4 linked regions of the Canis lupus familiaris genome follow. The protein of the gene in region 4 purifies or fractionates together with the protein of the main gene of each other region. This does not show direct contact. Links are inferred from orthologs where the notes say so. Each region holds a gene or a part of one and is shown on either strand. Other genes may lie near its edges. The genes, in order: CCDC8, CUL7, CUL1 and FBXW8.

Region 1 (4,249 bases), on a different chromosome or scaffold from region 4:
GGAGTGGAGGGGACACAAGGGAGTGACAGCATAACCCTGGAGCATTCTTCAGCTGCCCAGTCCAGAGCCAGGAAATCACGTGGTAAGCATTTTATTTGCATGTCGGCTCGAGCCCCTTTTTTCTTAAGTTCAAGGAGGCGGTCAATGTTAAGTGTGCAGGAGAAAAGAAGAGAAAGGGGGAGGGGAGGAAATTTCTCCCTAGCATCCTGCCCCCGCCAAGCTGAGCACCTAGAGTCGCATTTGAGAAGTTAAAATCATGAGTGATGCAACCCCTTTGTATGGCTCTGTTTCTTTACATTCCTTGGGTGACTAGAAAGAGTCTTTAAAAACAAAAAATCAATGCATGAAAGATAAACTTTTAACAGGAAAGATGGGTGCTGGGTGGAGATGGGAGGACCACTGCCCGACCCTTGTCCACTTGCATTTTCAAGTATGGTGGCAGGAAGGGCATCTCCACCCAAGTGCAGGGGAGGGAGGGCCGAGCCCAGAGTGGTGATGGTATGGCAGGTGGCTGCGAGCCCCAGGGCACCCCTGCCCTCACCTCACAGCTGGTCTTCTCGCTCTCCCTGCTCTGCTTCTGCTCTGGCCTCTGCCCTTAACACTCTAAGGCTCCTGGCCTCGCCTGCCCTGGGGACTCTCTTGGGCAGGGTTGGCAACCGGGGAGTGTGCCAGAAGGCTCTCCGGCGTTTGCGAAACCATGAAAAACGTCCAGGGGTCTGGAACCTCACTGTCTTGACCTGTTTCCGGGCCTTAGCTCCTTGGGTTGTCCCTGTGGCCACCTGGGCAGCTGGGGCTTCTGCCCTTTGGTTATGTGCCGCTTCTGCCCTCTGGTTGGCTATGGCTTCTGCCCCATCGGATGCAGCCTCTGCCCCCTGGACAACTGGGACCTCTGCCCTTTGATTATCTGGAGCCCCTTCCCCCTGACTACTTGCAACTTCTGCCCTCTGGACAGCTATGGCCTCTGCCCCCTGGACAGGTATGGCCTCTACTCTTTGATCATCTGCAGCCTCTGCCCTCTGATTATCTGCAGCCTCTGCCCTCTGATTATCTGCAGCCTCAGCTCTCTGATTATCTGCAGCCTCAGCCCCCTGATCATCTGCAGCCTCAGCCCCCTGATCATCTGCAGCCTCTGCCCTCTGATCATCTGCAGCCTCTGCCCTCTGATTATCTGCAGCCTCAGCCCCCTGATCATCTGCAGCCTCTGCTCTCTGATCATCTACAACCTCTGCCCCCTCCTCTGTGGATGCTGCTTCTTCCCTCCTGTGACGGCGAAAAGAGGCCCAGTTGATTTTGGGCCTCCATCGTCTTGGGGGACTCTCAGGCACCTGCTCAGCTCCTGTGTTGCCCACATTAACCCCCCGGCTGGCTCTGCCCAGTATGGACGCCCCAACCCTCTCCAGCCTGGTAGAGGCCTGCCGGGCCTCGCCCACCTCGGGGCTGGACCTGGGCGCCCAACCCTTCACCCTCCGCTTCAGCTTCCCCCAGGACACCTGGCTGACATACTCTCGCCACCTGTCAGCCTTGGACAGCTGCGGCCTGGGGTTGTCCTCGAACATGGGCACTGGCAGGTTCACCCGGCGGCGGGCAGGTGGCGCGCTGGGCTTCTTCTCCCCTCGCTGCAGGAAGGCCTCCACCAGTTCCTCGTCGTCCTCGCTCTCCAGGTCGCTCCCTAGAAATTTGCTGCCCAGGTAACTGACTGGCATTTTGCGCACCTTCCTGCTGCGCCCTGCACCTTTGTGACCTTTGTCACCCTTGTCACGCTTGTCTCTGGAGGTGTCGAAGTCACTGAACTCGCTGTCGCTGGCATTGCTGCTGTCATAGGTGCCCACGACCAGGCGTGGGGGAGGGGTCACCATCTGCTGGACTCTCCTCCTCCCTCCGGGCTCCTTGGGCTTTCTGGGGGGCTGGGGCGGGTGTGGGGTGCTCTTCTCAATGATGCGGGCCACGTCCTCCAATGTGCGGCCTTCTTCCTCCAGAAACTGGATCAGCCGCTCCCGAAATTCCGCCTCCTTGGTGGCAGGCTTGGAGATGACCCTCCACACGCCTCCGGCCAGCCTGACCTCCCGGGGGATGAGCAAATAGTCGACGTCCTCCCCGATCTGCAGCATCCCCACCGTGGAGTCCTCCTCCCTGCGGAACACCTTGCCAATCTTCTTAAAGGTCCCAACGGGCTTCAAGGCTTCCACGAGGACGTCCAGATCCACATCTTTGCACACATCAGGGACGCTCCAGAGGATCAGGGAGTCGGGGGATGGGAGGAAGCCCCAGGGGAACCAGCCCCCCACGTGGCTTTTCTCGAGGGTCTTTAAGATCTCCAGGGTGAAATCTGGGCTGGGGGCAACGACCCCAAACTACAAATAGGCCTGAGTCTTGGGGGTGGGGGTCCCAGCAGAACTGCCCCCGGGGAGGGTCTCACCTCTGCAGCCAAGGATGAGCCAGCCCCTCCCGACTCCTCTGCCCGCCACAAAGTCCAGTCTTGACCGAGTCCGGCTCCCCGCCCACCACCGAGGACTGGCGGGAATCAATCCCCAGGATGCTTACGTGAGCCCGGGAGAGGCGAGTCCTGGGGCTCGAAGCCCACCGCCAGCTGCAGACGTGGAGTCCCGGCTCCAAGCTAGTGGGGGCGCACGGGCTGCCCCGTGGCTCTTCCTGCCTCGGGACGCGCCCGCAGCTTGGGAGAGGCCTTCGCACACGAAGACGGCTCTTCAATAAGGCCGAGGCGCTTGGGGGCCGCAGCCCGGCCCCCCAGGGTCTCCCGCCCCCGGGCAGGCGGCCACCCCAGTCCCAGGCCGACCTTGACGCGCCCACAGCCTCCCCAGCCCGAGCGCTCAGCGCCGAGGAGCGCGGGCAGGAAGTTCCTCCTCGCTCTCCCCTCGGGGAGGCCCACCTTCCCCTTCTCATCTTACACTCCCGGACTCGGGAAGACTGACAGGGGGGCTGTCCACTCCCTTCGGGGCGCCCTTATTCCCTCCCCCACAGGGGTGTGGCCGCGCTCCGGGCCTCCTTGGGGCCACCGCTCCCGAGGCGGACGCCCCCGCCGGGGCCCACGTCAGCACCTTCCCTGGGGGAAAGGCGGCAGTTCCCTAACCTGCCCTGCTAAAGCCGGGGCTTCCAGCCGAGCCCTGGAGGTGGCGGTGCTCACGGGGCGGTCCTTTGGAAAGCCACCGGCACTGGAGGTGACCACTTCACACCATGTGACCTTGGGTACCAGCCACTGGCACTGGAGGTGACCACTTCACATCATGTGACTTTGGGTACCAAGAGGTCCCTACCTCTTTAGCCATACAGGTTCCGACCTCCTTACAGGTCGGTGGAGAGATTAGTACCAGGATCGTAACTGCGCTAGCCTCTAGCACCAGGCTTGGCACACGGTAGGTGCTCAATAAAGATTGTGGGGGTGAAGGAAGGAACCGAAGTGTTCATCAGGAGGCGCTGGCTTGGTTGTACGGTTCTCGCATTGAAAGACTATGCAGCTCTGTAAAAAGAAGCATCCGGTGAAAAGGAGAGTCAGGTTTTATGGAGCGTCTCCTGCGTCCTTAGACACCATTCTAAGTGCTTTCTGCAGACTAACTCATGAAATCCTCCCTATAACATTATGATACAGGTAATATGATCATTCCCATTTTATTTTATTATTATTTTTTTAATTTTTATTTATTTATGATGGTCACAGAGAGAGAGAGAGAGAGAGAGAGAGAGAGAGAGAGAGAGGCAGAGACACAGGCAGAGGGAGAAGCAGCCTCCATGCACCGGGAGCCTGATGTGGGATTTGATCCCGGGTCTCCAGGATCGCGCCGGGGCCAAAGGCAGGCGCCAAACCGCTGCGCCACCCAGGGATCCCTTATTTTATTTTATTAAAAGATTTTATTTATCTACTTGAGAAAGAGAACAGAGAGAGAAGAGAAGCAGACCCCCTGCTGAGCAGGGAGGGAGAGGTGGGGCTCCATCCCAGGACCCCTGGATCATGACCTGAGCCCAAAGCAGCCGCTTTAGCGTACTGAGCCACCCAGGGGTCCGATCATTCCCATTTATAGCTGAGGATGTAAATATCACCTACTCGGGGTACCTGGGTGGCTCAGGTAGTTAAGTATCTGCCTTTGGCTCAGGTCATGATCCCAGAGTCCTGGGATCGAGTCCCATATTGGGTTCCCTGCCCAGCAGGGAGTCTGCTTTTCCCTCTCTGTTCATGCTCCCTCTCTCAAATAAATAAAATCTTTTTTTAAAAAAAATCACTTACTCAAGGTCCCAC
Region 2 (3,564 bases), on a different chromosome or scaffold from region 4:
CAGGGTGTCCTCAGGAGTACTGATTACACACCCACTGTGTGCTGGCTGCTGGGGCGACAACAGTGAACAGACAGTGAGGAAAGAAGGCAGGAAGGGGGGAAGATGAAAGGGCTGGGTGCAGTCAGAGAACCCAAGGCAAACAGTCACAGAAAAGCTGAGATGCTCTGCTGTCCTGGGGTTCTCAACTACTGATTATGTTGGCAATAGGTGCAGAGAGCTTCCCAGTTTGTTCCTTTTTAGGCCATGTCCCAAGAAGCAGTTGTGGGGCTGCATTTTGAGATGCTCAGGCCCCAGACACAGATACCCTGATGGCAGGGAGGAGGCGGAGAGGGACACTCAGTGAGTCCACCTCCGAAATGAAAATCTGGGTAACAGCCAAAGGCATGCATTGCAGACACCCACTGCCAAGCGTTCCAAGCCCAGGACCTCTCTGTGACAGGGGATCCTGAGATGTGATGTCTCTTCCGCCTCCTTTATCCCCCTGTCCCTTAAACAGGAGCTCAGCCAAACAGGAGTCACTAAGGCTAATGTAAAATAAATGTAACCTTTTGTGTAAGAAAGGATATGGCAAATCAGATCATCCACTTGGGCATATTTATACTTGCAAATGGGCACACAGGAAGGACACATACATTAATACAAATGATAACCAATACAGGGCATGGGGAGAGGCACTGGAAAAATTGGATGGAAGTGAGAACATATGGAAGTGAGAATTCTCAGTGTATCCCTTGTTAGGCCATTTTAATTTGTGACCTGTATGAATATATTACCTATTTGAAAAAATCAAATTTGATTTTAAAAATAAATCCTAAACCAGGAGCACAAAGGCTCCATCGTGCCCTCCAGAGGCCCTCCTTGCGACCTCTCCCTCCAGCATCTCCCCAGAGCAAGATGGGAGTACCTCTCGGTCAGTGTCTGGTGACCGCAGGCAGGCCATGCAGGCGTCCATGGCCTCGTGCCAGGGGAGCAGCAGCGCCTCGGGGAAGTCCACCAGCTGCATCAGGATTCTGGGGAGGGGGTGGGGAGGCAAGAGATGTGTAGCTAGCCTCAGGGACCCTTCTGCCCCATGCCCCTCCCCACCCCCTCACCTCAGAACGGTCAGGTGCAGGGGCTTGTTGGCTGCCGGGGTGGCGAGGCTCTGCATCAGGATAAGGAAAGGTTGGGGCTGCCGCTGCAGCTGCAGCAGGAACGGCTTGATCTCTGTCTCCTGGGGCCCCTCTGAGCTGAGAGCTCGCTCCAGGTCCAGGAAGGTTCTCCCAGGTGGACCACAATCCACCAGCAGTCGCCACAGAGGAGTGTCAGGATACTGAGCTGGGGGTTCTTTTCCTACAGAAAGGTGGACATCACAAGAGTTGGCTATCGTTGGTAATGTCAGGATCAGAAAAGGACAGACACGTTCATAACTCCTAATTTTTCCTAACAATGTTTTTTGGGGAGATCCTCCTAAAATGAGTTTGGGGATCTTACAGCATCTCTTAATGTATTTAAAAGACAGCTCTGTGACAAATCTTATGTTTTATATTCTTAAAATAGCATAGGAACTTCCCGTCTGCAAACAGCAGAGCATTTCCCTATATCTAAAAGCATGCAATTAATTTGGCTTTCTCTACAACAGGAAAAGTTCAATGTGGGGCTTTATGAGACTTCAAATCTCTTTCAATTTTCTGACTTTCCATCCTCCCTCATTCATTGGAGGAAGCAGCTCTATGCATCAGATTTTTCCTTAGGTGCCAACTCTTCCAGACAGGATGGTACAAAATCAGCATAGACACCTCTCCTAGGCTGAAGCCCTTCTAGACACCAGTCTGCAGAGCTGCTGCAAAGTCTGTCTGGCACCCCACCTTCCACTCTGGCTGCACCTGCTGATTCCTGAGGCTGGGCCTGGGCTTCCAGAAGGGTTGGGTAAGCTGGGTGCCCTGCCAGGGCCTCAGGCCCGTATTTCCTGTAGACACGGCAGTTGAGCAGGTCCCTGAGAGCGCTGTCATCAAGTCGCTGTGGCAGAGCCAGCAGTAGGTCCTGGGCCAACTCCATGGGCACAGCCAGCTCAGCCAGGATCTCGTCATCCAGAATCTGTCACCGGGGAGAAGGTTTCACTGCAGGTAGCCCTGCCAGCACAGAGGTTCCAGAGGCACTAGTAGGGGTGGGGATCTCTGCACACACCTCTCCATCCTGAACCTCTCATGGCTGGCAGCTGCCTCCTCCCATATGGCTTTCCAATGCCTCTGAACATTCTAGATCCTTCCTCTGCAGCCCCTTACACTGTGGTCCTCCACTCCCCATCCTAAGCCTCCCAAATGCTCTCTCAGTCCAGCCCTTGTATTGAGTCCTCCAACTTCTGGGTGTCTCCAGGCTGGGTACCTCCCCATCCAGGTTCTCCTGGAGGATCTGGAGAACCTCCTGATGGTCAGGCCCGTCCAGCTTCTTGATAAAGAAGAGGAGCTCCCACCACTCCGCCTGGGTCAGGTGCTCACTCTCCTCAGCATCCTCATCCTCAGGCAGCACGTAGGGCACTGCATAGAGCTCTGTCATGGGCTTCCACCGCCAGGAAGGCAGAGCTATGGAAACAGGTCAAAGGGCACAGGGATATCATTGCCTACCCAGCTCCTGTGCTCCTGTGCTCAGAGCTGACCCTGTTTCCTCTTGGGGCTCACCTACACCCAGGGCTCCACTGACCACTGCCCCCTGGTACTCATTGGCCTCAACCACATCCTCAATGTCTTCCTCAAAGCCCAGAATTTCCAGCATGTGCCAGTGCACCCAGTAGGTGCGGCCCGTCGACTCCCACAACACCTGGTGGATATGGGAAAAAAGAGAGGGAAGAAGAGATGGCTCACTTCAAGACTGGCTATGCTGTGGCCCAGTGATGAGGACATACAGCCCTCAGGCTGACCACCTGGCCAGGTTTAGAGCAACCTCCAAAGAACACAATGCTGGCATACGGAGAACACACACACACAAAGGATGACCTGTCCTATGGGAATAGGCTCTGCTTCTCCTCCCACCCACTCGTCCCCACACTTCCTCCTGGCCTCAGCTACTCTCTCTCTGACCCTGACCTTTGGGAGAGTCTTGCTTTATCAGTTTTTTTCCTGGGAGTGAGTCTTCCTGACCTCATAGCCTACCCAACCCTGATTTTCTCAGCCCTCCAAATGGCCCCCTTCTCACCTCCCTGACCTCTTTTCACCACTCCAATCCCCACAGGGTTTTTTTTTTTTCCATGGGTGGCCTGCCAGAGCCCCCTGTATGGAAGCCCCAGTTATGCTCCCCCAGCTAGAGCCCTGACAGCATCTCACACATGTCTTGGCTCACCTGCACGGGGGGCATGCCGTTGTTGCTCTGACGGAACTCTCCCTCATCCCCAGCGCTGACCTCCTCGTAGTCATCCAGCATGCGCACTCGCATCCCAGCCTGCAGCGTCTCTCGCACATACAAGGCATAAGTATTGCCACTTGCAAACTCAGAGCGAGGGCGGAACCTCCTTGACCTCCTAATGGAGGGCTGGGCCCGGGTGGGTGGCAGCCCGGGGCCAGCCTCTGCCAGTTGGGGCTGGAAGATGGAGCA
Region 3 (3,564 bases), on a different chromosome or scaffold from region 4:
AACATTAAACACAATAAAATCAGAGACTAAAATGTTTTCTGATTTAGATGTAAGAACCAACCATGTTCTAGAAGCTTTTCCTTATTCTCCCAAACACTATTAAAATTAAAATGCCAACAGGGACAAAACCAAGGACAACTTACCCATCTTTTAGGAACACGAGGTACTCCCTATGAGAAATTATCACCTGAAATTACACTAGTAGGAACATTCCATATGCCTCCTGGCGTAGTAGGGTTCATAGGACTACTACACGTTTCAGGGATGATCCAGGGCAAAGAGCCCTGTGACCTTCTGGGGGTGGGGTGGGGGGTGGCAGCAGCAGGGGTCCTCAAAGTCCCCAACAGGTACAGCCTGTGGCCGGTGGGTGATGGAGCCAAGTGTCTAGGAGGCTTTAGTCTATTCATTCTATGGATGAATCTTCTCTTTTCTAGTGTAAGGAATGTAATTGTGAGAAGACATGAAGGGAAAAAAATATCAAGAAATGACATCCGCAATGCCTGAAAGATATCAGAGAAAAGTTCATGGAGGAATTTACTAAACCAAGAGGTTTGTGAACCTTGTTTTAAAAAGCCAAAACAAGGTTCCCTGTGAGAGCTCTAGTGAAAATCTTATCACTTGGATTCATAAATGGAGGCACACATGTCTGCAGTTCCTGTGTGGAAATGGTTAGGCCTGACTGATTTCCAATTACACAGTACTTACATTTAAAGCAGCTTCTCCACATTTTTCAATTGCCGCAAGACCCTGATTATGAATGTGTGTCTCTAGAAGTTTTTTCAATTCTCCTAGGCCATCCTGGATTCTAGATACAAGATTATACATGCGACCCAAATCTGAAAGAAGAAGGTGCCACCATTATACACGGAATAAACTTTACATATCCATTGTACTAAGTATGTATTTATACTGTGATGAAAAATACCTTGAAATAAAACGGTGTTTTCAGATCTAAATAATCAAAAATGTTTTAATTATAGCCAAATATTTTGTCCTTTGTATATGTATATTAAGCTGAAAACAACAATGAAGTTGTCCTATTGTAAAAGTTTATTTTTTCCCTTTAGTATGAGAAACCACCAAAATAACAGAGAAAAAACATCGTTTTATCAGAAAGTGTTTCTGATGCTACCTAAAATTCTCAAGCTTGAGATATTATTTATGTTAGATACATAATAGGCACTCAAATATTTATTTTAAGATTATTTATTTATGAAAGACACAGAGAGAGGCAGAAACACAGGCAGAGCGAGAAACAGGCTCCCTGTAGGGAACCTGACGCAGGACCATGACCTGAGCCGAAGGCAGACTCTCAACCAGAGTCACCCAGGCATCCCTCAAATATTTATTTTAAAAAAATGAATACATTTAAGGAGCATTTATGAATATCCATCTCAACTCTACAAACAAGTGAGTCACAAAAGGGTCCCCAAATTAACTACATGTGTGGCACATGGTTAGTTTATGAAGGACAAAGAAAAAAACTTTTGAACTTCAATCTTTTACTGAGTTCCTAACATGTCCTGGTAAAACCTGAAGGGTAAAAGAAATACTTTTACAAAATACTAGCCTTCACATCTTGAAGAATTTTTAGTTTTTTATTTATTTATGATAGTCACAGAGAGAGAGAGAGAGAGAGAGAGAGAGGTAGAGACACAGGCAGAGGGAGAAGCAGGCTCCATGCACCGGGAGCCCGATGTGGGATTCGATCCCAGGTCTCCAGGATCCGCCGTGGGCCAAAGGCAGGCGCCAAACCGCTGCGCCATCCAGGGATCCCTTGAAGAATTTTCAAAATAAAAATCCTCAAGAAAAAAATCGGGGGTAGTATCATTTCATGCTGAAGTGTATGCAACAAGTTATATTCCCAGTGGAACTGCAAAGATGCTCTCCCTGCCCCCGAAAGTTATACCCAAAACACTCTACAGAGGCCTGAAATCTACACACAAGGTAAATGCACACTCACATGTTAATCTTTCAGAAAGTGATTGATGTTGGTGATATTGTTACCTCTGAGTCTAGAATTTCAAACAATGTCAAAACTGTAGGTCATAATAGACATGCACATGTCCTGAAAGTCTGAGAGGCTCACCTTCATTTTTGTCAGCATCCAACAAGTTCTGGAATTCTGTGTGGAAAATTTCCAAGTGTTTTTCAATGAGCACTTGCTCACACTTCCTTGCTAGTTCATCTTGTGTGCTTTCATGAAGGTAGACCTGGACCCTTCTCTGTTCCTCGAGCAGACGGGCCTCTGCCTGCAGGAATTAATTCAAGCAAACAGTCTGGGTTTGTTTCTAAAAAATTGTTACGTGAAAAATGGCAAATTAAACTCACAAACCTGCTCTAATAAATTAAGAGAAAAGGGAAGGAGTTCTTTGGTTTTGGGTGAACACCAACCATATTTAAGTGGTCAATGATGTGCTCATTTTCTCTATAGTATATTTCTACCTCCAGCTCCTTTGAAATGACTTACCAAGGTCATCACTATGAGCAATTCAAATGCGTTTATGCTACCTTTCTTCCTTCAGATACATGGCACTTCACCTTTTGGGGGAAATATCTGAGAAACCTACGGATCATCTCTCATACACAGATACCATATTTAGAACCCCTACTTCTGGCCGAAAGCTACTGAAGTCAAGGGTCACACAAATATATTCCCTGAGATGACGACCACATGGAAATAGTTATCAGTAATCATACTTTTTAAAAAAAATTTAAAGAAAAACATGGGCTTCTTTTGCCAATCTGGGTATGTGCCTCTGTAACTAGTGGATTTATTAATCTCGAGTTCTTACAATTCCCTTCAAGGAAGAGAGGAAAACAAAGATGTCATAAGAAGGGCAGCAAAATAAATGAAAGTCCATGTATTTTACAAAGCATCACCAGAAATTTTGTAAAGTATCACCAAGGAACCACTAAACTATGGAAGCAAGGACAAAATTTCAATGATAATCTCAAATTATTCAGGTGATCTGAATAAAAAGAAAAGCTATATTTTGTATTATAAAAGTACCAAACTTTGCAAAATGATTTTATTTTTTTTAAAGATAGATAGATAGATTTATTTATTTATTTATTCATTCATTCATTCATTCATTCATGATAGACACAGAGAGAGAGAGAGAGAGAGAGAGAGGCACAGACACAGGCAGAGGGAGAAGCAGGCTCCATGCAGGGAGCCGGACGTGGTACTCGATGCCGGGTCTCCAGGATCACGCCCTGGGCTGAAGGCAGCACTAAACTGCTGAGCCACCCATGCTGCCCTGTATATTTTATTTTTAAAGTGTGTGTGTGTGTGTGTGTGTGTGTGTGAGAGAGAGAGAGAAAGAGAGAAAGAGAGACATCAGTAACCTAGAATAGTCAATAAATCTTTTGTAGCTCACATTAGTTTCAATCACACGAAGACAGTGGGATATGTTAACCCAAATGTGGTTTAGGGTTCATTAATCAAAGCCATCCCTATTGCAGAGAAGCCAAAGAGTCTCAAGTGGTTCCACTAAAATATCCCTAAACATCACAGAAAAGGGAACACAGAGGAGGAATTTGCACATCTAGCTCACGATG
Region 4 (3,564 bases):
TAGCATGGTCTTTAATAGCCCAAATAGTGAAAGCGACCTAACTGCCTACCAGCAAGGGGGCTGAATAAACAGACTATGGGTCGTAAGCATACACCGGAATCCCAGTGAGAAGGAGCATGGTATGTGCTGACAGGGAATGCTCTCCAAGGTAGATTACTGAATAAAAATGTTGAGTACAGGACAGTATGTATACTATGATCTCATTTCTACAAAGATAAGTTTTTAGTGTATAAATGTACCTATAAATGCGTTAAATTTTTCTAGATGGACACCTAAAAAATGTTTAATAGTTTCTTCTGTGGAGGGAGGCTGGGGGAAGGCAGGAGAAAGGAAACAGTTACTTTTCATTTTATATCCTTTAGAAGTGCTTGAGATTCCTCTTTTTCACCATGCTGAATATATAGTGCCTGAATACACCTTATAAAATATAAACAGAGAGATTTAATTTTTTAATTGCCTTATAAAAAATAAAAATCAATGTTCTTTTTTTGTTACTTATACATCTTACTATTTTTGTACCTTGTTTCCTTCGTATACCCATCCTAGACTCTTCACACCAAAAGCAGCCTGGTTGGCTGAGACATCCAGACATGTGACTGGCTGGCCGTACACATAATGGAGGGTTCTGGCAGAGTCTTCAGCCTTTAGCAGGTATACCAGATCTCCAGCCGTGGCCACTGCCACAGGGTACCTTCCAGTATCTGGTACTATTTCAAGGTAGTCAACCTGTGAAAGGATAAGAGTTATGTAGCCCATCAGATCTCACCTATAGTTCCTCCTGACTTGGTAAAAAATACAATTTCTCCTACACATCAATAAGGCCAGCAACCCTAACAGAAAAAGACAGGCAAAGGGTCACAGTTCACAGGAAATGAGAACATAGTTCTCACACTAACAAAAAAGTTGCTCTTTGTAAAAGAAACATGATATATTCCTAAAAAGAGGAATGTGAAATAAAAATTCAGCAATACCATTTTCACCAGTCATATCAGCAAAGATCAATTAGCCTGCTAGGACACTGATCTAGAACTAGAGGAAGGGACAACCACATTTGTGGATCCCACTTATGGTTGGTGGGATGTAAACTGGTCCAGCCTCTCTAGAGAGACACTGGCAAAACTTACCACAATGTCAAAGGCATATGCGCTCTGAACCAGCAAGTCAGCCCTAGGAATTTATTTACAGATAAATTCACACATATGCAAAACAACTGTGTACATGGTTACTTACTGTGGCACTATGTTGTCTTAACTAAAACTGGGAAAGCCTAAACATGCCTTATTAAGAGACTAATTAACAGTGTATCTATTGGAATACTATGCAGCCACAGAAAACAAGCATGAAGCATTCTTTATAAACTGATACAAATGGAATCATCTCCAAGATAAATTTGGGGGTGCGGGAGGCAAGGAAGCAAAGTGATATGATTCACAGTGTGCTAATGTGTGTGAAGGGGGGCCAGGGGGACCAGAGGTACCATGAGACATATATGTGGCTTATGCAACTATAAATCTGCTAACAACGGCTGCCTTTGAAAAGGGCACAGAGTTTTTTGATGGAGTGGAAGACAGATTTCTCCCTGTAAACCTTTCTATATCTTTTAAATTCTGAACCATGAGGGTATAACTATTCAAAAAATTTTAAGTTTTTTTTTTTTACAAGAAATTGAATGAAATCCACTCCGTTCCAAATTAGCACACTTCACATTTTAACATTTGTGCAAATACCAAAAATGATATTTGTGTTGCTAAAAGACTAAAAGTACCTGAGTTACATGTCCTCTGCTGGCTTCAATGTCATCGAGGGTAGAAAGGCTGCCACCAGTACTTTTATGCCACTTCAGTACTCCTGACTGCATTATTGCAACACTTTCTCTAAACTGCAGGGGAATGAGGCGTTCCCTTTAGGAATAATTTGCTTGTCTATGTCCCGAAGTGGCACATTTTTCCTGAGCACAGTTTACACCAGGTTTTCACCTCGAGTAAAATCTGAGAGCACAAAAGCAGAAGGTGTGCCATGCTGTGTAATTATGAAAACCACTGTGTAAAAGGACAGCACTGCCCTGACAATAAGCCAAATGAGTTCAAAAGCCTGAATCCTGAGGACTGTCCAAAGGAGCTTGGGAGAGCGTAAACATCCGGGTGACTATGCTAATCCTCCGGCCCAAGAGTGAGCACGGCCCCACATCCCCAGCCAAGAACTCATCACAAAGGACAGACGTTCTCAGCCAGTAGTACAAACTGGGGAACACCGCCACTGTGATTCAGGGAGCCTATCTGGGGAAGACAAAAATGGCCCAGCACTAATGGGCCAAGAGGTGCCTTTTTCAGTGACAGCATATTCTATGGCAACCCCTAACCCAGGAGGAGAAATAACACATAAGAAGTATAGTAACACATGCCTCCAGCAGTGTCTGCTTCCTTCCTCTCTCTCGTATTCTAAAACTCATTTCTTATTTTCCTAAAATCAACATCCTCAGTCTAGCCATTTAATTTCACTTTACTGTTGGAGTATTGACAGACCAAGAGGCTCATATCGGCTGTGGTTGTGCCATTCGCCAAGAGCTATAAACTACTTCAAAAAGCTTCTAGTCTATGCCAGAACACCACCTTATTGCCAAGGCAGGATTTACCCTGTATAGAGGAACTCACATCTTAAATAATTGTCTGAATTCATATAATTATTGCTAGTGTAGAATGTTCTTTAGGTAGAGACCAAATAATAAACACTATGGTAGTTTTAAGAACAAACAGAAAGATAGTACTTCCACATTTTTCTAATAAAACTCCAAAAGGAGCATCAGGCTGTTTGGGGAAACCACCACCCAAACTGTAGAAATTGGTCTTTAAGGGACGAGAAGCTTATTGGGGTGAAGTGGTGACACCATGGCTTTTTAGTTACTCAAGCCTAACAAGATTTCTAGCAGGGTGAGAAAGGGAGGAGAACAAGATCTGTTCTGGGTTAGACCACCAATTCATCATTCAATACCGGCTTTTCTGTTCACTCCTCCAGTACTGCCAAAATCAAGTGTTTAAATTAAATCTAAATTTAGCACAGATTTGAGCTCTTTCTTCTTACCACAAAATCATCTCCTGCCATATAAACATGGAGGCTCAAGTACAACTATACTTGGAGATAGGATCTATGTGAAGAGGTCTTAAGGTTGGCTGAGTCTCACACAGGACACCCTGGAACGCGGCTATCCAATTAACACTGACTTAAATTTATTTTCACTCAGGAGTTACTTTTAATTCCAGGTGAGAAAATCTTAGGCGGAAGAAAGTGCAGGATGGAAATCTTCCTTCCCATATGGACTGGGATGATACCACTGAATTCATTTTCACTTCTATAATAGGCCAGAAACCAAGCTCAGATTTCCAGGGGTGAATGTGAAGAAAGCTGAGGACCACAGCTTCAGACCCAGATGAGAAACCTTAGCCTTAAAGTCAGCCCTGAGGCTTGAAGCACAACTTCCTAGCTTTGAGATCTGGGCAAAGCCTCAGATTGGCTCTAAGCCTCTATTGGCTTTTTGGTAACTGGGGGAAAGAATACTATCTATTTTGC

What was found.
Region 1: the proteins of FBXW8 (region 4) and CCDC8 purify together in Homo sapiens (affinity purification with mass spectrometry; 3 studies listed by BioGRID and IntAct, with this or other methods). This does not show direct contact. The link is inferred for Canis lupus familiaris from reciprocal best matches to the Homo sapiens genes FBXW8 and CCDC8.
Region 2: the proteins of FBXW8 (region 4) and CUL7 purify together in Homo sapiens (affinity purification with western blotting; 12 studies listed by BioGRID and IntAct, with this or other methods). This does not show direct contact. The link is inferred for Canis lupus familiaris from reciprocal best matches to the Homo sapiens genes FBXW8 and CUL7.
Region 3: the proteins of FBXW8 (region 4) and CUL1 purify together in Homo sapiens (affinity purification with western blotting; 9 studies listed by BioGRID and IntAct, with this or other methods). This does not show direct contact. The link is inferred for Canis lupus familiaris from reciprocal best matches to the Homo sapiens genes FBXW8 and CUL1.

What each region holds. Positions count from the first base shown.
Region 1 is NC_049222.1:110,057,496-110,061,744, forward strand, and holds the start of CCDC8 (coiled-coil domain-containing protein 8), read right to left. Parts: upstream 2,851-4,249; 5' UTR 2,109-2,850; coding exon 543-2,108; 3' UTR 1-542. UniProt on the Homo sapiens protein: Core component of the 3M complex, a complex required to regulate microtubule dynamics and genome integrity. It is unclear how the 3M complex regulates microtubules, it could act by controlling the level of a microtubule stabilizer.
Region 2 is NC_049233.1:11,755,868-11,759,431, forward strand, and holds part of CUL7 (cullin-7), read right to left. Parts: coding exon 3,313-3,564; intron 2,794-3,312; coding exon 2,655-2,793; intron 2,559-2,654; coding exon 2,362-2,558; intron 2,074-2,361; coding exon 1,845-2,073; intron 1,330-1,844; coding exon 1,092-1,329; intron 1,011-1,091; coding exon 905-1,010; intron 1-904. UniProt on the Homo sapiens protein: Core component of the 3M and Cul7-RING(FBXW8) complexes, which mediate the ubiquitination and subsequent proteasomal degradation of target proteins. Core component of the 3M complex, a complex required to regulate microtubule dynamics and genome integrity.
Region 3 is NC_049237.1:1,677,409-1,680,972, forward strand, and holds part of CUL1 (cullin-1), read right to left. Parts: intron 2,253-3,564; coding exon 2,090-2,252; intron 837-2,089; coding exon 706-836; intron 1-705. UniProt on the Homo sapiens protein: Core component of multiple cullin-RING-based SCF (SKP1-CUL1-F-box protein) E3 ubiquitin-protein ligase complexes, which mediate the ubiquitination of proteins involved in cell cycle progression, signal transduction and transcription.
Region 4 is NC_049247.1:13,930,959-13,934,522, reverse strand, and holds part of FBXW8 (F-box/WD repeat-containing protein 8), read right to left. Parts: intron 727-3,564; coding exon 520-726; intron 1-519. UniProt on the Homo sapiens protein: Substrate-recognition component of the Cul7-RING(FBXW8) ubiquitin ligase complex, which mediates the ubiquitination and subsequent proteasomal degradation of target proteins.